Canis lupus familiaris: one gene and its partners. The protein of the gene in region 5 purifies or fractionates together with the protein of the main gene of each other region. This does not show direct contact. Links are inferred from orthologs where the notes say so. Each region holds a gene or a part of one and is shown on either strand. Other genes may lie near its edges. The genes, in order: RPP30, IBTK, RPP38, POP1, POP7 and RPP40.

Region 1 (2,532 bases), on a different chromosome or scaffold from region 5:
TCACTGAGGACCTGCCATCATGCCTATCTATTCTGAATAGCAGGATAAGTACCTGTCCATAAACAGAAAGCAGGCACAACTGCAAATATGTAACAGATGTGCATAAATGAAGGAGCAACTCTAGTTCTAATCTTTTCCCAGTTGCTTCTTTTTTGAAGACAACAGTCACACCTGCAATAACTCTACCTTCTTCCTAACTGGAGGTCTTCAATACTCTATCTGCAATACAACTGGGGCAAATAGACACATATAAACCAGTTGGTTGAAACAGTAGACGAAGGTGGGACATCAGAAAAAAGTTGAACATACGATCCCTTAAACATTTTGAGTTCAAAATATATAAATGCACACTCATGTGCCGAACTGTAGAGATCAGCATCTGCTCTGGGGAGTGTCGACCCCCTGATAGGGCATCCATCAGCTGCCTTTCTTGAGTTCCAATATCTTTTTTTTTTTGAGTTCCAGTATCTTTAAAGAAGAAAGAGAACTGAAGACTTGAGTGAAACAATCCAAGTGTGGAATTTTTACTGCACTCCCCAAACCCCAAATCTTAGTTGTCCTGTTCACACCTATTTTGGCAGATTTTTTTAATGGCTCATCTTTTTTAAGTCTTTCAAAAGCTTGAAATTCCTGGGAATTCTTTTTTCGTCCTTCATAGTGCAACAGTTTTTGTAATTTTTAGTTGATGTATATAACTTTACAATGCTAACCACAGTAGTATAAACAGACTTGAGAATAAAGCACATTCACTTTTGGTGAGTTCAAGTGGGGTGGGGGCAAAAGTAAGCTAGTCCTGGAGGAAGTGGTGGACTGCAGCGTGTGGGCTCAGCGGTGGCCACATCAGTTTTACGGAGGGAATGGAGTTGACTAATCCATCAAATTGCTCAAGTGGAAGGCACACAAAAATGCTCTTAGAGACATCATGCTTACTACATACAATATACAAATATATACAGACATACATATGTGTGTGTGAAATATTCTACTACTTGGTTTTATGGCAGGAGTGGATTTTAAGTTTTATCAAATGTCCTACTTGCACCGGTTAAAAGGATTCTGATTTTTCTCATCTGATTAATAAATATGATGAAATACAGTACATTAAAAAGAACTGAAATATCCTTATATTCCTAGAATAAATCTCACTTGTCATGGTATATTATTTTAATGGCCTCTCTTTACCAATATTTTATTTAAGAATCTATATTCATAAGTGAGACTGATATAAAGCTTTTTTAAAAATTATCTTTTTTCTCAGAATACTGTTGCTTTTCTCACTGAAGTTATTTTTTTTATATCAATATAACATGAATACAGACACTTGCAAAAAAGGCTACTTCCATTTAACTGAATGATTATGCTACATAAAAAATTTTTTTTTCAGAGTTGGTTGAGTACAATGGTTTGATATTTTTAGTACTACTATGAGGAAAATCAATATTAGGTTTTTAGAGACTTCCAATCAAAGGAGGGAATTCTATTTCAAGAACATCATGGAGGTAAAACCAGCAGAGAGGAAGAGGCCATGTGTAATTTTACATATACTTTTCTCTCTCCTTCCAAAAATTTTATAGCAATTGTTTTCAGAAAGAACTCTGACTTGATGAATACAAGGACAGGCTTACAATAGAAATAAGTCAACTAAAAGCCAACCCCTTAGTAAGTCTTCATAGGCCTCAAAATAACCCCTTTTTGAATGGTAAGATTAAAAAAATAATAAGCCATGTATATGAAGTGAAGCAGCAAAGCATGTATTTTTAAATGAAGAACTTTTTTTTTAAATGCAGATGCATTCACTTTTTTTTTTTTTAAGATTTTATTTTATTTATGAGAGACAGAGAGAGAGAGAGAGAGAGGCAGAGACACAGGCAGAGGGAGAAGCAGACCTCACTGAGCAGGGAGCCCAATATGGGACTCGATCCCAGGTCTCCAGGATCACACTCTGGGCTGAAGGCGGCGCTAAACTGCTGAGCCACCAAGGCTGCCCAAGAAGAAACATTTTTAAGGAGTCTCCTCCTGAAATATCTTATTCAGTTATATCTGCCGTTTTATCACTTAACACAAAAAATAAATAAACTTGTCTCTTTCTCTCAAAATATATCTAAATTAATTAAGTGGGCAGTCGTCTTTTTTACTGCTTCACTAGGTTTTGTTATTTTAATGGCTTGAATATAAAATTGTTTTTATAGACTGCTGAGTTCTAGCTCTGAATGAAAATAGTAAGTCATAAAGGTTTTGTTTCTGTTGTGACTGATGGATTATCAAAGGGAAGAAGGGAGTGTTGACAGAGACCGGGGATTCTTTTCAGCCCTCACACTTGGCTTTCTTGCAAGCTGGAAGAGAATCCTCATCTGCTTCTGATGGCCGAGGTTTCTTCACTGTGGAAATAATTCCAAAAGCAGTTTTTCTCGTTTCTGTAAAACAGACAGGGAAACCATAGGGCTTGAAGTTAAGACATGATTTAAAAAGTGGTGGTTTAACATGTATCACCATGTTACTTTGACTTATAACATTAGTAAATGATAAAACCAG
Region 2 (3,500 bases), on a different chromosome or scaffold from region 5:
AACTAAATCTGGGGGAAATTTACTAATTACAAAATTTTTAATTTTGCCTGTTCAGCTTTTACTTTTTTTAAGGAGCTGTTATATAAAATATATCTATGCGATTTGATATCTTCATCCATACTCAGTTTACATATCAAATAATCCATCAAAATTCCTTATTTCCATTTTAAGCACAGTAAATGAAATTTTAAGCTACAGTTTAACAAAGCTGTACTGTGCAACATTAATTGTCATCAAACTTTCTTTGAAATATCAGCTCCATACTAATTACTACTGATGTCAAAAGTAAGTAGAGAAAAAAGTCAATGGGAATCATCATCATCATAATAATACATGTTCACATTATCAGGTCCCTTACAGCTATCAATTGAGAACAAAATTTCTTTACTACACTTTTGCATAAATATACACTTACCCTTCCAGCTCCATCCATGGCAAGAATGCAAATTTTTTGACCCCCATTTTCCTTCAAATTTTCAGGATCAACCTTGTATTCCATACGTCCCCCAGAAACAAGAACTTTTTTCAAGTTTAGTTGTCTAGGTGAAAAAGAAAACTCTCCATTAATATGTTCTCTAAAAAAAAAAAAAAATTAAAAAAAAATATGTTCTCTAAAATATACATGGCTCAATTTTTAAGAAATTACTATTCAAACAATAATCTACAGTGATTATTGTGACACGTGAAGTAAGACAATTTGGCCTTTGGTATCCTTAGTCCCTCCTTTCTCTTTAAGTTTCCCCTACATTATGGCAGTTTCTTTTTATAGCAAGTCCTTCCCTCCCAAATGCCTGTACCTACACACACACACACACACCTCTGAAATCTAAAGTCCCACTTGTGAATGCACACATTCACTCTACTTTTTTTTTTTTTTTTTTTTTTTAATTTATGATAGTCACACACACAGAGAGAAAGAGCAGAGACACAGGCAGAGGGAGAAGCAGGCTCCATGCACCGGGAGCCTGACGTGGGGTTCGATCCCGGGTCTCCAGGATCGTGCCCTGGGCCAAAGGCAGGCACTAAACTGCTGTGCCACCCAGGGATCCCTTCACTCTACTTTAATTAACTGATAAGACTAAAAGCTCCTAACAGACCAGAAAAACTTAAAACCTCAAAATGAAACAAATCTTTAATTTCAAATATGAACAACCCTAAATAGCTAATAGCTACCAGGAAAATCATCACTAATTTAATTTTGGGGACGCCTGGGTGGCTCAGAGGTTGAGCTTCTGCCTTCGGCTCAGGGCGTGATCCTGGAGTCCCAGGATCGAGTCCCACATTGGGCTCACTGCATGGAGCCTGCTTCTCTCTCTGCCTGTCTCTCTGTGTCTCTCATGAATAAATAAATAAAATCTTGAAAAAAAAAAAAGTTGAATACTTTGGAATGACACATTAAAATGCATAGCAAAATACTGCTGTCAAATCAGAAATGGATTAATCAACTATAAAAGATTGAAATATATGAAAAGTAAAGGACTCTAACCATATTAATTTACCTCACAATTGTTTTTAAGAGCTTCCTCCTTAAGTGTTCAAAATGAAATCACAGATGATACATTATGGGTAGGTTTATGCTCAAAAGCTAAGGAACTCCAATTGGCGGACACATCCATGCTTACACCTTAGTTTTATGATTCCCTGCTTTACCTGGCTTTTTTGATGAGCTAACCAACTGCTAGTTTTTACTGCATGCTACTATATCCTACTATAGGATATATCATACTATATCCTACTCTCAGGTAACAAAAGGCTACACAAATATAAAGATAAAAAATATACCAGTTAATTATAAACACATGGACTGAGAATCCATGATAAATAATTAGCTATTTTTAAAAAATAAATAAATGCATAACATAAGAAAGCCACACATGAACCAATGATGATTGTGTCACAAACCAAGAATTATAATTAATCTAGTACTATGTACCTGAAGCATAAAAAAAAAAAGAAATTTATAGGTCACATTTAACCATATGTTAAATATAGTTCTGAAATACTGTTTAACAATTTACAGAGAACTTCTACATATGCTCCCTGGATGCTTCTCAAAGACTAAGCTCAAAGGTAAAAACTCTTGATTTTCCCTTTCAGTTTTAAATTTTCTCCATTCAGTTTTCTTCATCTGACACTCTAGAACATAGCACATAAAGCTTATATTCTAAGTCTTGCTGGAAGAATTATTATTATTAAAATTATATTTCTTTACAAAAATACACATAACATACTTAGAAGCCATCTTCTTGCACTGATAGTCTGCAAGTAAGTAAATATCTCCCCTTGTGGTAACACAGACTGTGGCCCCATCACTTGCAGCAACTAAAGACAAAGTGATATCCTTATGATGAAGGGCAGAGACTTGACGAGGAGCAGTTACATACTTTTCTCCATTGGGATCTGGCAAATAACCTAAAAAATCAGACAAATAAATAAAAAACAATTTATTTTTAAAAAATTTTTAAATTTTTTATTGTTTTAAAAATTCAAAAAAAAATAAAATAAAAATAAAATAAAAAAAAATTCAATTTACTTTTCAGATATTGTCATCAAGATTTCTTACCCAGTTGTCCACCATTTAGTCCCATAGTGTAAACAGCTTCTCTAGTCCACAGCACTGTATGAAACCTGCCTGCCGCTACTCCAATGATTGTCCTTCCTTTCAGATATTTTGCCTGCATCTATTCAAAAAGATAAGTAAGACAGCAGTTTATTATATTACCAAGTACTAGAATAATTTTTTAAAGATCCAGTAGACCAGAGTAGCAAATATATGACATACCCACTACCAGTGCCCCCTCAAGTTCTAATGCCAGAATTCACTGAAGATGTCAGCACTGAGACTCCAACCCTTCTCAGAACACAAGATATTTTGATGCAGCAACTTTAAGTCAGCAGTTTTAATATATAAAAAATTAACAGTATAAAAACCAAATCATTCAACTTTTCAACAAGCAACATGCAAAACAGGGATTCTCATTCTATCAGAAAATTCAACACTTTTAAATGTGACATATTCAACAGTGGCACTATTGATTTTACAGCCAGATGACTCTTACTAATGTGATGTATTATCACAATGATTCTTGTATGAATACTGAATCACACTTGCATCCCAGGAATAGCCAAAGCAATCTCAAAAAAGAAAACCAAAACTGGAGGTATCACAATTCCAGATTTCAAGTTATATTACAAAACAACAGTAACTATAACAGCATGATATTAGCATAAAAAGAGACACATACATCGATGGAAAAGAACAGAAAATTCAGAAATAAACCCACAATTATGTGGCCAATTAATCCTCAACAAAGGAAGAATGAATGTTTACAATGGGGAAAAAGACAATTGTTTTGTCTTTTTCGTACAAATCTTATCGAGAAAACTGGAGAGAAACACGCAAAGAATGAAACTGGACCACTTTCTCTCACCATATACAAAAATAAACTCAAAATGTATTAAAGACCTAAATGTGAGACCTGAAACCACAAAGATCCTTG
Region 3 (3,927 bases), on a different chromosome or scaffold from region 5:
AAGTTTATGCTCTTTCCATCCTGGCTGCACCTCAAAAGTAACCTGTTGCCTTTTAAAAACATACAGGTGGTTGGTCCTTATCCTGGACGTACTGAACTGGAATCCCTGGGAATAGGACCAGGGTACCTGTATTTGTCAAAGCTGCCCAGATGACTCTGATCCAGAACAGGGTTAGAATAGCTGGGATAGGACAGGCTGGCCCTTGACACCGGACAGGCCTCCTGAGAAATGAAAAATGGCCTCCTGACTGCCACTGGTCTCCACTGCTCCTCCTAAGTCCTCTTGTAACAGAAATCCAAACTTCAGCTCCTCCAGGGAGTGTCGGACCTTGTTCAGGACCTTGATGCCAGAGCCTCAGTACCTGCTGTGCAAGCTGCTTCCTTCATACCAGCCCCTCTGCACAGCCATCCTCACTGACACCTCCCCCCTCATTTTCTCCATGTTCCCCCCAAGCACAGAGGGAGTCAGGAAGCAGACCAGCTAAATCCAGTCAGGATTGGTAGAGGCTGGCATCAGGTTGAAGGTCAGGAAGACGAGCAAGACAAATATGACTGAACAGAGCTCTTGCCAAACTGCAAGTCAGCTCATGTGCCTCAGCATCCAAGCAGCATGATGCTGAAATCCTTAAGTAATACTTATACTTGTGTGCTCTGGAGAGACAGCAAGTGAGGCATGAACTCCTGTTCTCAGAATCTAGCGGGAGAGACGAGAGCCAAGTAGTTCAGATAGAACAGAACCTTCCACCAGATAATCCAAGAGCAAAATACTGATTGATGAGAAGGGATGGTTTTAGAGCAGAAAAACATGAAGGCCTTGCTGAGGTGCCTTTTGGGCTATGTCTTGGAGGCACTCACCACCTATGGGATCAAGTGCAAACCCTTTACAGTGACCTACAAACCCCACACACACTGACTCTCACCTCCCACCAGCCTCTTCCACCATTACACCCACTTACTGCTTATTGAGGCCACCAATTTCTACCCTCCCCATCTTTTTAATTTTTATTTATTTGTTCATGAGAGATGGGAGAGAGAGAGGCAGAGACATGGGCAGAGGGAGAAGCAGGCTCCATGCAGGGAGCCCGACATGGGGCTTGATCCCAGGTCTCCAGGATCACGCCCTGGGCTAAAGGCAGGCGCTAAACCACTGAGCCACCAGGGCTGCGCCCCCCCTCCATCTTCGTACATATTATTCCCTCTGCCTGGAATACTGTTCCCACCTTCGGCCCCACAACCACCTTTCTTCTTCAGCAAGTATTTCTGGATTATCCACAATGTACCAAACCATAAAGTATTAGCGTAAAAACAGTTACTGGCCTCAACAGAACTTAGAATCCATGAAAACAACAAATGAGCAGGTAATAGTACAAGAAGATGTGCACATTCAAGTCTGGGAATTCTAAGGATACTAAGGAAACAGCAGAAGCATGAATTAGCTGAAGGGGAGAGAAAAGATGTCCTGGAGAAAGTGACCTTTCAACCCTGCATCTGAAGAGTGCCAGCCAAAGGGGGCATGAAGCAGAAAGAGTACCCCAGGCAACAACATTAACGAAATGAAGGAAGTTCACGCCGCTGGGGAAGAGATGCTAGAGATGCTGAGGTATCAGGAAAGGGAGGCGAGGACCAGAGGGTGAAGGTCCCGCAAACCGCATAATAATGGAAAGCAACTGCAACGTTTGAGACACAAGAGCGAGCGTGATTTGAAAGGCCCTGCAAAACCATCCTTGCGGAAGCCCGGGGCCACTCCTTTGCCAGAAGTGGAAGGAGGAGCAAAGAGGTTCCCAGGGTAGGCTCGATGGTGGCCTGCACCAGAGTGACCGCAGAGGGAACAACGGGACAAAATTACATGCAGTTGGAAGAGTTAACTGGTGGAACCTACCCGGCTTGGAGCTATCAATAGGAAGTAAAGGACTCAGAGATGCCTTCCAGGGGATCCCCGGGTGGCTCAGCGGTTTAGCACCGCGTGATCCTGGGGTCCCGGGATCGAGTCCCACGTCGGGCTCCCTGCGTGGAGCCTGCTTCTCCCTCTGCCTGTGTCTCTGCCTCTCTCTCTCTCTCTCTCTCTGTCATGAATAAATAAACAAAATAAGAAAGAAGAAAAGAAAAAAAGAAAAGAAAAGAAAGAAAAAAGAAAAGCCTTCCGGAGGGGGTTGGGCGGCAGCCCCAGGGCCCGCAGGCTGCGTTCCTGCCCCCGAGCTCCTCCCTCCCCGGGCCTGCCGCCCGCCTGTACCGCCGCATCCTTCACCATTTCGCCCGCACACCGCAGTCCTACAGGGATCCGCCCGCACTTGTAGGCCTGGGGCACTGAGGGGCCGGGGGGCGAGGGGGGCTTTATCTCGCCGGTTCCCGCGCCCTAAGATGCTCAACCCCAGGCAGAGACAGGAGAGGAAACCCAGGCCCGGAGGCGGAACGTAGCCCCCGTCGCGCTGGGGCTGCCTGGCCGGACGGACAGGTCTCCCGGAGAAGACCTGGGGACCTCGCGTGTCCCCCCGGCGCCCGCGTCCCGAGCCGGACCCCACCCGGGGCGCGCCCCTCCCGCCCCCGCGCCCCGCGCCCCGCTCCCACTCACGACCGCACCCCCGCCGTCTGCACGTGCGCCGCGCGTGCGCAGAGCCCCCGCCTCTCCGGCCCCGCCCCCCATGCTCAGACCGCTTCGCATCTCACCGTCCCCCTTGTCACTCACGGTGGGGAGAGTCGGCCCACAGCGTCCAAGGCCCGAGCCACAAAAGCCCGGAGTCCGGGATCGCGGGCCGGGAGGCTCAGGGCTGCGCCCCACCGCGGCAGCGCGCAGGCGCAGGGAGACCTCACTGCGAGCCTCGCGAGACTTCACGGTTGTCGTGGTAACGCGTCGCTCTCGGTCTCGGTGGCTGGTGTGAGGGCTCGTCGGTCGTCCCCCGAAGCTGTTTGTCACATCTGCCGCCCTCTCGCTTCTAATCCAGTCTCTACCTCTCTGCTCCCGGGAGCCTTGGCTCGCTCGCCCTCTTCTCGCTTTTCGGTATTTGGCTTGCCCGAGGGGAACGCAAAGCCCCAGGCCGTGCCCCAGCGTCCCCCGGCCTCCGTCGACTCCCCGGCACCGGGGAGGTCAAGATGCAGCGGGGATGAGGGGTGGTCTGGGATAAAAACGCGCTTACAGGCAACCGTGCAGGCGATCTTGCCCCCCACCCCCGCCCCTCCCGAAACAGGCACGGGAAGGCTGCTTTGGAGTGTGCGACAGCAGCTCCGAAAACTCCCCCAAGTATCTGCTGTAGCTGCTCCGGCCAGTGAAAACTGACGGTAGGAACGGGGTCGCTGGGAGGTCCTGGACGACTGCGAAACGGCTGGAGGACGTTTGCAAGGTCAGGCATCGGAGCGTGTCGATCCACCCGGGGCCGGGAGGGCGCTTGGAAGAAAGTAGGTTGCTTCTGACCTGAAGAGCCTCCTCCCTCCCTCGCCACCCCCTTCCTTTCCCTTTCCAGCCTAACTTAGCTCCCCACCCCCACCCCCACTTACTTTTCCTCTCCCTGTCTTTCTCAAAACTTGTCCTTTCTCAACCTCTTCTAGGCTCGTTTTGATTTTCCATTTCTTTTTTTAAATTATTTTTATTTATTTATTCATGAGACACACACACAGAGAGGCAGAGACATAGGCAGAGGGAGAAGCAGGCTCCATGCAGGGAGCCCGACGTGGGATCCGATCCCGGGTCTCCAGGATCGCGCCCTGAGCTGAAGGCAGGCGCCTAAACCGCTGAGCCACCCAGGGCTGCCCTTGAATTTACATTTCTTAATCTGTTTCCTAACATTCTGGGTTTTTAGCACCGACGTAGCACCTAACTGGCCGTAAAGTAAGCAAAACAAAAAGCCCGTGTTCCTTTTGGTTCCGAGATTGTTGCAGGTTACCCATGTGATTTCTAAAAAATATATTTATTTATTTGAGAGATAGGGAGAGCACG
Region 4 (3,500 bases), on a different chromosome or scaffold from region 5:
ATTATAGTTAGGGTATATATATATATATGTGTGTGTGTGTAAAAGGCATATGTCCAGTAGGTTATGTAATTAATGAATTTCATTTCAAAAAAGAAAACAGGTGTTTCAAACCATTCTGGAAAAAAAAGAGGAGGGGAGCCTGGTTGGCTCAGTTGGTTGTGTCTGACTCTTGATTTCAGCTCAAGTTATGATCGTGGTCATGAGATTGAGTCCCAAGTCCGATTCCACAGTCTGGGGAGTAGGCTTAAGACTCTCTCTACCCCTCTCTCTGCCTGTTCCCTACTGCTCTTTTTCTCTCTCTTTTATAAAAAAATAAATCATTAAAAAAAAGGGGGGGAGATGTTGAGTTTGAAAGTTGAGAACTACTGAGTAAATCTGTCAAGTTCCCTCAGGGGTTTTGTCCTTTATCCTTATTCCTTATTTCAAATTGAAATTTTTTGCTGTTATAAATTAAAGGTACAGCTGGCCTCATTTTGGTGGCATCAGTAATTTATGTTCAGTTTTTGTAGAGGCTATATCAGAATAGTGTGTACTATATTTCATTGATTCACGTGGCTCTTGTTTCACCTAAGAATTTTTTTCTATGGCAGAGAGATCTTATACCTCATTTTTCATTCTTTCAATAGACTGTTCAGTGTCATCATTGGGATATGATTGAATTATCTGGCAGTGTAATCTAGAATATACTAATAATGGTCTCTTCCATTAATATAATTATTTTTTTTCCTATTGAATTGGGTTTTTGGTGCCAATACCATTCATGGCTCCCCTAGAAATACCCCTGGTGATAAATCTCTGTAGGTCAGTATTGTGATAACATTTTGATATCATCAATCCACCTATAATAAATGAAGATTGGTTATATTAAAGAATCAAATTTTGAGTTACGGGAATATTTATTTACTAAGTGTATTTTTATTTTGCATGGAAGTTCTCTTTGCTTGTACTAAATTTATTCTTCCTTTTCAGAAATGTCTAATGCAAAAGAAAGAAAACATGCTAAGAAAATGAGAAACCAGCCCACAAATGTTACTTTATCTTCTGGCTTTGTGGCCGATAGGGGCATAGAGTACCATAATGGAGGTGGGAGACCTTTCCAAGCTCAAAAACAAGGTAAGATACACAGGATATTCTTTCTATTCTATTTGGAGCAAAATGCTTTAGTCAGCTCTTTTTTTTTTTTCTTTTAAGATTGTTTATTTATTTATTTGAAAGAGACAGAAAAAGCACGAACGGGGGGAGGGGCAGAGGGAGAGAGAGAGGCCGAAGCAGGCTCCCCACTGAGCAGGGAGCCCTATATGGGGCTCAGTCCCAGGACCCTAGGATCATGACCTGACCTGAAGGTAGATGCTTAACTGACTGAGCCACCCAGACTCCCCATTGTTAGTTATTATTTAAATAGTAAATGACCTGCATTAAAAACAGATGCAGTTGACCTTCATTATTCACAAATTTTGTATTTGCAAATTCACCTAGTTGCTAAATTTATTTGTTACCCCCAAATTAATACTCATGGTACTTTGGTGGTCATTCATGGGCTTGCAAAAAGAGAGGGAAAAAATTGGAGTCACTGCACATGGACATTCTTAACTGAGGTTCCCAGCTGCCTCCTTGCTTCAGCTTGCTGCTATTTTTTTTTTTTTTAAAGATTTTATTTATTTATTCATGAGAGACACAGAGAAGGAGAGGCACAGACACAGGCAGAGGGAGAAGCAGGCTCCACACATGGGACTCAATCCCAGGTCTCCAGGATCATACCCTGGCTGAAGGCAGTGCTAAACCACTGAGCAACCTGGCTGCCCTTGCTTCAGCTTTCTTACAGAGTGACCAGAGGGTGGAGGTAGAGACTATAGTGGGGCAGTGCAGCAGAGCCCAGGAAGCTCCCTCTCCAGCTAGGGATTGAGTTCCAGTTGTGGGCAGCCGCAGGCAGATCACTTAACACTTCTGAATCCATTTTTTTCCTTTGTAAAAAAAGGAAACAGTGTACCAAGATGAGTTGTTTTTATGATTGAGATTGTTTTTATGATTTGAGATTGCAGTCAGTGTGATAGGGGGGTGTGTGTGTGTGTGTGTGTGTGTGTATTTTCTCTAGGAACAGTGGTTCAGTATTTGCTAACTCAGGGTTTGTCGTGACTTTACAGAGCATAACTACTGGGAATAAGTGGTGCAGCGGTTTGGCGCCTGCCTTCGACCCAGGGCGCGATCCTGGAGACCCGGGATCGAGTCCCACATCGGGCTCCCGGTGCATGGAGCCTGCTTCTCCCTCTGCCTGTGTCTCTGCCTCTCTCTCTGTGTGTCTATCATGAATAAATGAATAAAATCTTCAAAAAAAAAAAAAAAAGAATTGGCTGTACGTAGAGCAGATATATTATATCTCTATTAACATAGTTATTATTAAATTACATTCTTTATTTCCTAAAAGAAATACAATGTGTTTATTGTATCTCCCTTTTTTTTAAAAAAAAAAAGATTTTTTTTATCTATTCATGAGAGACACAGAGAGAGAGGCAGGGACATAGGCAGAGGGAGAAGCAGGCTCCTTGCTGGGAGGAGGTCCCAGGACTCCGGGATCACGACCTGAGCCAAAGGCAGATGCTCAACCACTGTGCCACCCAGGTGTCCCGGGAGTTTAGATTTAAAATCTAGGGGATCCGGGATCCCTGGGTGGCACAGCGGTTTGGCGCCTGCCTTTGGCCCAGGGCACGATCCTGGAGACCCGGGATCGAATCCCACGTCGGGCTCCTGGTGCATGGAGCCTGCTTCTCCCTCTGCCTGTCTCTGCCCCCCCCCCCCCCCCCCCCGTGTGACTATCATAAATTAAAAAAAAAAAAAAATCTAGGGGATCCTTGGGTGGCTCAGCGGTTTCGCACCTGCCTTTGGCCCAGGGCACGATCCTGGAGTCCCAGGATCAGGTCCCACGTCGGGCTCCCGGCATGGAGCCTGCTTCTCTCTCTGCCTCTCTCTCTCTATGTCTATCATAAATAAAAATAAATCTTTAAAAAGAAAAGATTTAAAATCTATTTTGTACTATTTGGACAAAAGAGCCCTTATATCAGTTATGTTCAGGGTTAGTTTATCATGCTGACAAGGTTAGCCAGTGTGCTGCCTGCTAACTATGTCACGTGGTAATTCACCTTCCTACCCGAATTGATTCCCTCCTATTTAAAGGGAAGGTAGTAATAGCCACCTTACGGGTGATTGTAGAATTAAAAACATGTTAGTGTTGCCCCTCAGCAAACGGTGTTTTCCACTGTAATCCATATCTTTGTTAGGCCTGACATATTTCTTTTCGTTTTCTTTTTGAAAATAAACTAGACCCTTTTCCTGGAACTTCACGACAGCGGCAAACCAAAATGACCTACCATTCCCCAGTTGATCCTGATGTGAATGAACAGACTTCCTCCAAAATAATGTTTAAAAAAAAGGGAGGATGGAAAGCAGGTCCCGAGGGCACGTCTCAGGAGATTCCCAAGTATATCACTGGTAGGTGTTTGGGAAGA
Region 5 (4,049 bases):
AGAAGCAGGCTCCCTGAGGGGAGCCTGATGTGGGACTAGATCCCAGGACCCCAGATTCATGATCTGAGCCAAAGGCAGACAACTCAACCACTGAGCCACCCAGGTGTCCCTAAAAAAAGAATTGTTAAACGAACTATTTAAAAAAACCCAAAAACGAACTATCACTCTATTACTCAAGAAGTGTGTCTTTTCATGAGATCTGAAAAATGTTTTCTAAATGTTGACATCCAGATAATGTAGAACGGTTTGTGATTTAGGTGAGTGAAGCCAGGCACTGTAATAAACTGATTTGACAATAAGATGGTACTTATCTTTTTGCATTTTGTTTTAGGCAAACACTACAGAGGAATCTGCCATTAGGAAAAAAGGCAGTGCTTGGCTGTTTAGACTTCAGACCTCCCTTTCATCTTGATTAATCACCTAACCAAATCTTTCTCTTCAGTTCAAAAACCCGCCAATTTATTTTTATTTTTTAAAAGATATTATTTATTTATTTATTGATGAGAGACAAAGAAGGAGAGTCAGACTTAGGCAGAGGGAGAAACAGGTTTCCTGCAGGGAACCTGATGTGGGACTGTATCTCATGACCCTGGGATCATGACCTAAGTCAAAGGCAGACAGCCACTGAGCCACCCAGGTGCCCAAAAGACCACCTTTTTTTTTTTTTAAGATTTTATTTATTTATTCATAAGAGACACAGAAAGAGGAAGAGACATAGGCAGAGGTTAGAAGCAGGCTCCCTGCAGAGAGCCTGATGGGGGACTTCATCCCAGAACCCCAGGATCATGACCTGAGCCAAAGGCAGACGCTCAACCACTGAGCCATCCAGCCCCAAAAAGCCCAACAATTTAAAACACAGACCAAGACATTTAATAGCATAGCACCGGAATAAACAAAAATATTTTAGGTCTGAGTCTTTTTTTCGTAATTCTCTTTTTCATTCCATATGGGAGATGCACGGTTCTGATTTCAATATTCTTTCTCAAAGAGGTACACTTCACAGATTCAAATTCCACAGTGTCTTCAGCAACAGGAGCAGCAGCAACATTTTCCCCAGCTCTACAGTTGGAGGAGATTACTGGGCCAGGGTCACAAGCTGGAACACAAGGAACCCTTGGTGATCGCTCCAACCCTGTACCCTGGAGTCCAGCACGTGCTCCTTGCCAGGCAGCATCTAGTGGGTGCTACTCTCAGATCAAACACATTTTCATGTTGGCATTCAAAGCCCTCAGCTGAAGTTTCGCTTCCCTTCTCACCCAACTAGGGATCCAGGTGCTCTTTTCCCATTAGCCAGGAATGTGACTATTGTATAGCTGACCCCCACTCTTCCTAAACCTACCCAAGTGTCTTCCTTCCAGCTTAGCACAGGGCCCCACCATTCCCTACAGATGGCATTCCACAGACATCCCTCCCCCCCTTTCCCCTATACCAAAAATGTGCGATCTCATATTTGCTAAATTAACAATCGAGACATGCTAAGACCTTACTCATTCAGAGATTTGGCTGCTGGGAACTTCCATCACCCAGGACACAATCTAGAAAAGTTAAAAAAAAAAAAAAGCAACAACAGTTTGTAACAAAAAAACTGTCATAAGCTTATAAGCTTTAGGTGAAGAATTCTCACCCAAGCCTGGATTCTGTCGATACATTTTTATACAGTGTTCACAACTTTATATCTTCTCTCCTGTAAAACCAGAAGCCCCCCCCCCCCCATCAGCTAACATTTGTGGAGTACTTGCCCTGTGCCAAACAGTGTGTTAAATGCTTTACCAGACAATCCAGAGAGGGAACAGATTATTTCCAAGGCCACAGGCAGTAATGAATGAAATCTGCACGGGAGCCCTTGCTTTAAACAATTGCTATTTTCCAGCCTCGCAGCAAGCGGGGGAGACCAACAGCACTAAGAAATCCTGACTGCATGAAAGTGAAGGGAACTGGGGAAAAACAAAACAAAACAAAACAAAACAGATACTAAAACTGCTAGGACAGAGAAGCCTGGGGAACACTGGTGCGGGAACAAAGGGCCTTCTGGTAGCTCCTGAGGTCTGCGCTCCATTCTGGCACAACACAAGACACTCAAGTTCTAAGTCCCACTTTACCTTTCTCCGTCCTGAGGATTACACTGTGTTTGCTAACAGCCGTTTTAGGAAGCCGGAAAGTACAGTATACATTCTGAATAACCAGCACCCCCTACCCCGCCAAAAAGGTGAAAATACACAGGGGATAAAAAACAAAACAAAACAAAAAACCTTTCACCCTAAAAAGTTCAGGGACTTGGAAAAATCTTTCTTGAAAACCCCTTTTTTAAACAAAGGAGGTGTCAATCTACTTCTCATATTTGCATAATAATTTCTCTCTTCACCGTCTTTCACATTCACCTATTTTAATTCTTCCAGCACTAGGGGAATGGAGTCGGGTGGAGGTCGGGGGTGGGGCGGAGAACAGCGTAACACCTGACCTAAAAGTGAAACTGAGGCCCCATCAACTGCTTTGCCCCCGGGGTCTAGAAGCTAGTAGTCAGTGGCGGAGCCAGATGGAAACTCTGGGTCTCATCAGCCAGTGCTGCTTCGGACACTTTCCAAATGATTAGTTCCTCACTTATTTTATATATCCCAGGACTTCTAATTAACACACCTCTGGATCGTATGCTGTCTCCTTCAATCCAGGTGGGCTTCCTGGAGGAAACCGACTGGAGAGGCGAGCCCTGCGATGCCACCTGCGGCGGCCTCCGTCGCGACGGTCGCGCGTCACGTGCCGGGAGCAGCCGGGGGGCAGCCGAGGAGTGCCCCGGGGACCCCACCCCCCACCCCGGCCCGCTGCAGGCCCTGCGTCACGTGACGAGCCAGGCCTCGGGTCACGTGCCGGGGGGGTAATTTCGGGGGCGGCGGGCGCCAGGGCTCCCCACTGGGCAGGCGGGGCGGGCGCTAGGCCGTGCGGGTCGCCGGGGACCGGGGCTACGGAGGGAGCGGCGGCGGCGGCTGCAGAGGCGGCCGCGGCGGCGGAGGGGGCGGCCCCGCGGCCCCGCGTCCGCGTCACGTGGTGCGAGGCGGGCAGCCATCTTGCTACAAACACAAACAGAGAGGAGCGGCCGCCGCGGGAGCGCCAGCGCCCCCTCCCCCGCCGCCGCCGCCGCCGTCGTCGTCGCCGCCGCCGCCGCCGCCGCCGCCGCCCCCTGGCCCGCCGCGCGCCGCCAACGCCCCGGGACCGGAGCCTCGCGCCGCCCGCCCGCCGCGGTAAGCGCTCGGCGGCCCCGCGGACCCCGGCCCGCCGCCGGGCCCGGGGCAGGCCCGCCCCCGACGCTGAGGCGGCCGCGCCGAGCCTGCGAGAGCCAGAGCGAGCGCGCGGGCCGCCAGCACGGACCCTCCCGCCTCTCTGCCCAGGCCGCTGCCGCCGTCGCCGCCCGGTGCGTCCGCCCTCCCGCCGGCCCCTCCTCGGCGCGGCCCCGAGGGAGGACGCCCTCGCCCCTCGCCCCTCGCCTCGCGCACCTGGCGCCCCCTCCCTGAAGGGCACGCCGTCCTCCCGGGCGGCCCGCCTCCTTCCCACCCCCGCGCTCCTAACGGTCGTCCTCTGGCACCTCGGCAGCCCTGCCCGGCCCCTTCCCGTCCACCCGCATCCTCCGCCAGGCCTGCCCCGGCCCCCCGACCCTAGTGCCCGGCGCTCCCCGGAGACTTCCCCCAACGAGCCTCCGGGCTTTGACCGGAATTAGCTGGGCCCTGCGGGTCTTAAAGTCCAGGCGTTCCATGACTTTGGCCAACGTGGAAGCTTTTCTTAACCGAAGCACCTCCGCTGGGTCTTCACCTAAATTTCCTTTCAGCGGGCGACATTAATGCTTGGTCATTGGGGTCTCCTTCCTCCCTGTTGCCCGTCCGTTTCTAACAGCTTAGTCTCCTGGCTACGGTCCCTCACACTTTGCCTCTTTTCTTCCCCCCGAGTTAACTTGAAAGAGACCCTCTTTCTTACCCAGTCGTTAGAATTCCTAGTAAGCTTCCCGGTCTGGTCTTTCATTGGGCCCCAGCCCTGGGAGATGCTAAGTCAGTTGTCCGCCGGAT
Region 6 (4,083 bases), on a different chromosome or scaffold from region 5:
CAGGGCACCTGGGTGGCTCAGTGGTTGAGCATCTGCCTTCGGCTAGGATCTGATCCCAGGGTTCCGGGATCGAGGCCCAGCATCAGGTCCCTGCGTGGAGCCTGCTTCTCCCTCTGCCTGTGTCTCTGCCTCTCTCTCTCTGTGTATCTCTCATGAATAAATAAAATAAAAAAAAAAAAAAGAAAAAAAAGAAAACACAGATCCCAAGACTCTCTCCTCTCCCTGAATCCTTGTTATGTTACATCCCCACGCCACACGTGGACAAGTGTTGTCAGAAACCACCATCTAAAGGGACCATAAGAAGCAGCAGGGTGAGGATGCTGAGGGAGGGGGAGTGATGCATGCACATGGCCACACAGACTATCTCCAAAGGCCCTGGTTAGGACAAGAGAAGAACCCTAGTACTGCGATGTAATCTAACTGTACTTCCTCGTCTTGCCACGTTCACGACAAGGTTCTTCTTACCTTTCTTCACAAAGGTGTTGATGAATTCCTGTGTAATCAACTCATGAAGAGGTAAGTTCTTCACGAAGTAATAGGGTCCAGTTTCCATGACGAGGTTCTTCAGTTCTTTCGATAGTATCCCACACTCAGGAATCAGAAACGAGACCTATTGGAATGTGTCACGTAAGTCTTATTTTCAAGGAGATCAACCTCCAGCTTTTTAAGGATGCTATAACATATGAAGGCTGCTAACTAGTCCCCCCACAGGTTTCTATAAAACCCTAAAGTTAATTTACCCATCTTAGGAGAAGAGAAATCTGACAATTCACGTTTTTCATTTTCTGTATTCAAACATTATAGGAAAGCGAACAAGCAAAAAAAAAAAAAACTGTTATTAACGGAAAGCTCTTGTTTGCATTTCATCTTTTGCAAATAAGCACTATGTTTTATATCCTGCCCACTGCTCTAATTAATTTTTAGGGAAATACGGTACAATGGAATAACCCTGGGTTTTTTTTTTTTTTTTATCCTGGTACCAGGCTGGAATCAAGAGGACGGTCCCTTAGGACAGAAGGAAATTAAAGACATCCATCAGTAAGAGGCTCCTGGGAAGCAGAAGTGCTTCTGGCTGTTTCCGCTTTCTAGGCAGGTGTGCGGGGGCGGGGCAAGGTACCCGGGCAAGGTACGGCCAGAGACCCGCTCTCCCTCCCCCGCAGAGGAGCTGCACCGAAACTGTTTCAAGTGTTGCCCGAAACGGTTTCAAGTGCTGCCCGGTGCTCCAGACCTTGCAAAGCCCTCCCCTCAAACATCAGTCGATTCCTGAGACACGGGGTCACCACCTGGGTCTCTGGGAAACAGCAGGTCAGGCCTCGGTGGACAGGAGGCTCATGAATTCAAAATGTTAAAGGCAGGGCAGGCCGGGTGGCTCAGCGGTTAGCACCGCCTCCAGCCCAGGGCGTGACCCTGGAGACCCAGGATCCAGTCTCACGTCGGGCTCCCTGCATGGAGCCTGCTTCTCCCTCTGCCTGTGTCTCTGCCCTTCTCTCTCTCTCTGTGTTCTCATGAATAAATAAATAAAATGTTTAAAAAAAAACTTTTAAAGAGCAGTTCGCGGGCAGTCGGGTTGCTCAGCGAACCTCCTGCAGCCCAGGGCCTGATCCTGGAGCCCCGGGATCGAGTCCCACGTCGCGCTCCCTGCATGGAGCCTGCTTCTCCCTCTGCCTGGGTCTCTCTGCCTGTGTGTGTGTGTGTGTGTGTGTGACTATCATGAATAAATAAATAAAATGTTTAAAAAAAAACTTTTAAAGAGCAGTTCGCGGGCAGTCGGGTGGCTCAGCGGTTAGCGCCTCCTGCAGCCCAGGCCGTGACCCTGGAGACCCAGGTTCGAGTCCCACGTCGGGCTCCCCGCATGGAGCCTGCTTCTCTCTCTCTGTTTCTCATGCATAAATAAATAAAACCTTTAAAAATAAAATAAAACGGAAAGGGCTTAAAGCATTGCTCGGGTTGTTTCTGGAGCCTCGCCGCTTACGTGGGCCGGTGAGGAGGGGCCCTGGCCCGCCGCTGGTCCCCGTCCAGTCCTGCGGGACGCGGGAGGATCAGCCTCACCGATGCCCCCGCGGACGCCGAGGCCCCCACGAGGAGGAGGAGGAACTCGCACGGAGCGACCGGCGGCGTCACCCCGGGAGGCTCCCGGGCGGTGCCTGGAGCAGGGCCGCCCAGCCCGCGCCCGGGGACCGCGCAGGGCGAACCTCTCTCGGAGACAAGCTGGCTCCCCCGCAAGGCTCTGGCTCGGCCACCGGCTCCCACCAGGCAGCAGCAAGAACCGCTCGGGGGGCTCCGCGTCGCGCCCACGTCCCTCCTGGGAAAGCACCAGCCGCGGGACCGAGCAGCCAGCGAGCTCTGCAAACCGCCCGGGACGCGCCGCCGCCCCCGACAGGAGAGGGCACGGCCCCCGCGCCCAGCGCATCCTGGAACTTGTATTCCTGCAGCTCCGCGAGCGGCCACTCTGGAGCACAGGAGAGACTACAATTCCCAACATGCCTGGCGACGAGCCCCGCCCCCTCTACGCGTTAAGGGCGGGCCCGCCGCTCCGAGCTGAACGCGACTTTCCCCAGACCCCTCCAGCTTCCGGGGATGAAGCGATGCCCGAGAGCCCGCGGCGGCCGGACTCACCCGGTAGTTGTGATAGTGCGTTTCCACCAGATGCCGGTGGCGCGACTTGTCGTGGCCGAAGTTGGATTTCTCGCAGACCAGCAAGTGCCGAGGAACCTCTCGCAGCCGGCGTAGGGTGGCCATGCTCTCCGCGGCTCCGGCGCTGGGCGGGCTCGGCGCGCCCCGCCCCTCCTCGGCGCCCCGCCCTTCCTCGTCACTTGGCCCCGCCCCTCCTCAGCGCCCCGCCCTTTCTCGTCACTCCGCCCCGCCCTTCCTGTCGCCCCGCCCCCTCCTCGTCACTCCGCCCCCTTCTCGTCGCCCCGCCCCGCCCCGCCCCGCCCCTTGGGCATGCGCAGTTCGGCGGCGCCGAGCGGGCTGGGGCGGCCTGTGCTCGGTGATGCGCTGGAGCTGAGGCCGGGCCTGGGTGCAGGAACCTCAGCAGAAGCTCGCCCGCCGGTGCCTGCAGCCGCAGATTCATCACCTAAAATGGAAACACCTGGCGCGTGGAAAGCCGGAACTTGCCTTCTCAAACCCGTCTTTCTCCCCGTGCCCCCCTCCTCCCTCGCGTCTGTCTCTGGCCGAGCATCCTCCTCCCCCTGGTTCTTCCCCAAAAGTTAAGGAACTCTGCGCAGGAGGAGACCTCACGGTTTCCTTTTCCTGCCCTACAGTACGACTCCTTCGGCGCCACTTTAAGATCCCTTCTTTAAAAATCCCATCTGAACGGCTTTTAAAAATGTGTTGCTGTTGGGGGTTGCGGAGAAAATTCATTTTTCCATGACTTTTCCAATCAGGTACCGCATTGGTGCAAAATTCATTTTTCCATGACTTTTCCAATCGGGTACCGCATTGGTGCAAAATTCATTTTTCCATGACTTTTCCAATCGGGTACCGCATTGGTGCAAAATTCATTTTTCCATGACTTTTCCAATCAGGTACCGCATTGGTGCAGGCTTCTTCCCAAAGCATGTGCCCAGGCCCAGTTCTGTGCAGAGAGGATGCGGAACAGCAGGCTGATAGGACTTTCTGGAGCTTCAGTTTTACTATGAGATTTGCAACAGCTGAAGTTCAGCAATTTACAAGGTAAGTATTTAAAAATTTTAAACTGAGACAAGGCTGGAAAGTCCATCTGCCCATTAATGTCAGTGACCTGTGCCTGAAGTGTCAGACTATCTGAGAAAACCATGAAAAACACATTTCCCCGTATTTACTTTTAAAGATTTTATTTATGTATTCATGAGAGACACACAGAGAGAGGCAGAGACACAGGCAGAGGGGCCCGACGTGGGACCCATCCCAGGACCCCCGGGGTCACGCCCTGAGCCAAAGACAGATGCTCAGCCGCTGAGCCACCCAGGTGCCCTTCCCCTTATTTTAAACAGGAAGAATTATAGGGAATAGCAGGTGAATTGAAAAATTCTACCAATTTTCTAAGTCCTGGTATGGCACCTCGATATGTTACCACTGTCCTTTTAGGAGATCAGATGTTTA

Evidence for each region.
Region 1: the proteins of POP7 (region 5) and RPP30 purify together in Homo sapiens (co-immunoprecipitation; 4 studies listed by BioGRID and IntAct, counting the BioPlex papers as one, with this or other methods). This does not show direct contact. The link is inferred for Canis lupus familiaris from reciprocal best matches to the Homo sapiens genes POP7 and RPP30.
Region 2: the proteins of POP7 (region 5) and IBTK purify together in Homo sapiens (affinity purification with mass spectrometry; 3 studies listed by BioGRID and IntAct, with this or other methods). This does not show direct contact. The link is inferred for Canis lupus familiaris from reciprocal best matches to the Homo sapiens genes POP7 and IBTK.
Region 3: the proteins of POP7 (region 5) and RPP38 purify together in Homo sapiens (co-immunoprecipitation; 3 studies listed by BioGRID and IntAct, with this or other methods). This does not show direct contact. The link is inferred for Canis lupus familiaris from reciprocal best matches to the Homo sapiens genes POP7 and RPP38.
Region 4: the proteins of POP7 (region 5) and POP1 purify together in Homo sapiens (affinity purification with mass spectrometry; 3 studies listed by BioGRID and IntAct, with this or other methods). This does not show direct contact. The link is inferred for Canis lupus familiaris from reciprocal best matches to the Homo sapiens genes POP7 and POP1.
Region 6: the proteins of POP7 (region 5) and RPP40 purify together in Homo sapiens (co-immunoprecipitation; 4 studies listed by BioGRID and IntAct, with this or other methods). This does not show direct contact. The link is inferred for Canis lupus familiaris from reciprocal best matches to the Homo sapiens genes POP7 and RPP40.

Annotation. Positions count from the first base shown.
Region 1 is NC_049249.1:5,743,745-5,746,276, reverse strand, and holds the end of RPP30 (ribonuclease P protein subunit p30), read right to left. Parts: intron 2,415-2,532; coding exon 2,305-2,414; 3' UTR 501-2,304; downstream 1-500. UniProt on the Homo sapiens protein: Component of ribonuclease P, a ribonucleoprotein complex that generates mature tRNA molecules by cleaving their 5'-ends. Also a component of the MRP ribonuclease complex, which cleaves pre-rRNA sequences.
Region 2 is NC_049233.1:42,951,455-42,954,954, forward strand, and holds part of IBTK (inhibitor of Bruton tyrosine kinase), read right to left. Parts: intron 2,682-3,500; coding exon 2,564-2,681; intron 2,413-2,563; coding exon 2,232-2,412; intron 540-2,231; coding exon 416-539; intron 1-415. UniProt on the Homo sapiens protein: Acts as an inhibitor of BTK tyrosine kinase activity, thereby playing a role in B-cell development. Down-regulates BTK kinase activity, leading to interference with BTK-mediated calcium mobilization and NF-kappa-B-driven transcription.
Region 3 is NC_049223.1:20,577,873-20,581,799, forward strand, and holds the start of RPP38 (ribonuclease P protein subunit p38), read right to left. Parts: upstream 2,801-3,927; 5' UTR 2,664-2,800; intron 2,524-2,663; exon of another isoform or gene 2,245-2,523; intron 2,063-2,244; exon of another isoform or gene 2,059-2,062; 5' UTR 1,879-2,058; intron 1,837-1,878; exon of another isoform or gene 1,220-1,836; intron 1-1,219. UniProt on the Homo sapiens protein: Component of ribonuclease P, a ribonucleoprotein complex that generates mature tRNA molecules by cleaving their 5'-ends. Also a component of the MRP ribonuclease complex, which cleaves pre-rRNA sequences.
Region 4 is NC_049234.1:470,078-473,577, forward strand, and holds part of POP1 (ribonucleases P/MRP protein subunit POP1), read left to right. Parts: intron 1-969; 5' UTR 970-971; coding exon 972-1,113; intron 1,114-3,315; coding exon 3,316-3,483; intron 3,484-3,500. UniProt on the Homo sapiens protein: Component of ribonuclease P, a ribonucleoprotein complex that generates mature tRNA molecules by cleaving their 5'-ends. Also a component of the MRP ribonuclease complex, which cleaves pre-rRNA sequences.
Region 5 is NC_049227.1:8,960,925-8,964,973, forward strand, and holds the start of POP7 (ribonuclease P protein subunit p20), read right to left. Parts: upstream 2,801-4,049; 5' UTR 2,635-2,800; intron 1,536-2,634; exon of another isoform or gene 1,488-1,535; intron 1,097-1,487; exon of another isoform or gene 704-1,096; intron 1-703. UniProt on the Homo sapiens protein: Component of ribonuclease P, a ribonucleoprotein complex that generates mature tRNA molecules by cleaving their 5'-ends. Also a component of the MRP ribonuclease complex, which cleaves pre-rRNA sequences.
Region 6 is NC_049256.1:6,410,279-6,414,361, forward strand, and holds the start of RPP40 (ribonuclease P protein subunit p40), read right to left. Parts: upstream 2,801-4,083; 5' UTR 2,740-2,800; coding exon 2,617-2,739; intron 2,531-2,616; exon of another isoform or gene 2,193-2,530; intron 2,128-2,192; exon of another isoform or gene 1,973-2,127; intron 611-1,972; coding exon 466-610; intron 1-465. UniProt on the Homo sapiens protein: Component of ribonuclease P, a ribonucleoprotein complex that generates mature tRNA molecules by cleaving their 5'-ends. Also a component of the MRP ribonuclease complex, which cleaves pre-rRNA sequences.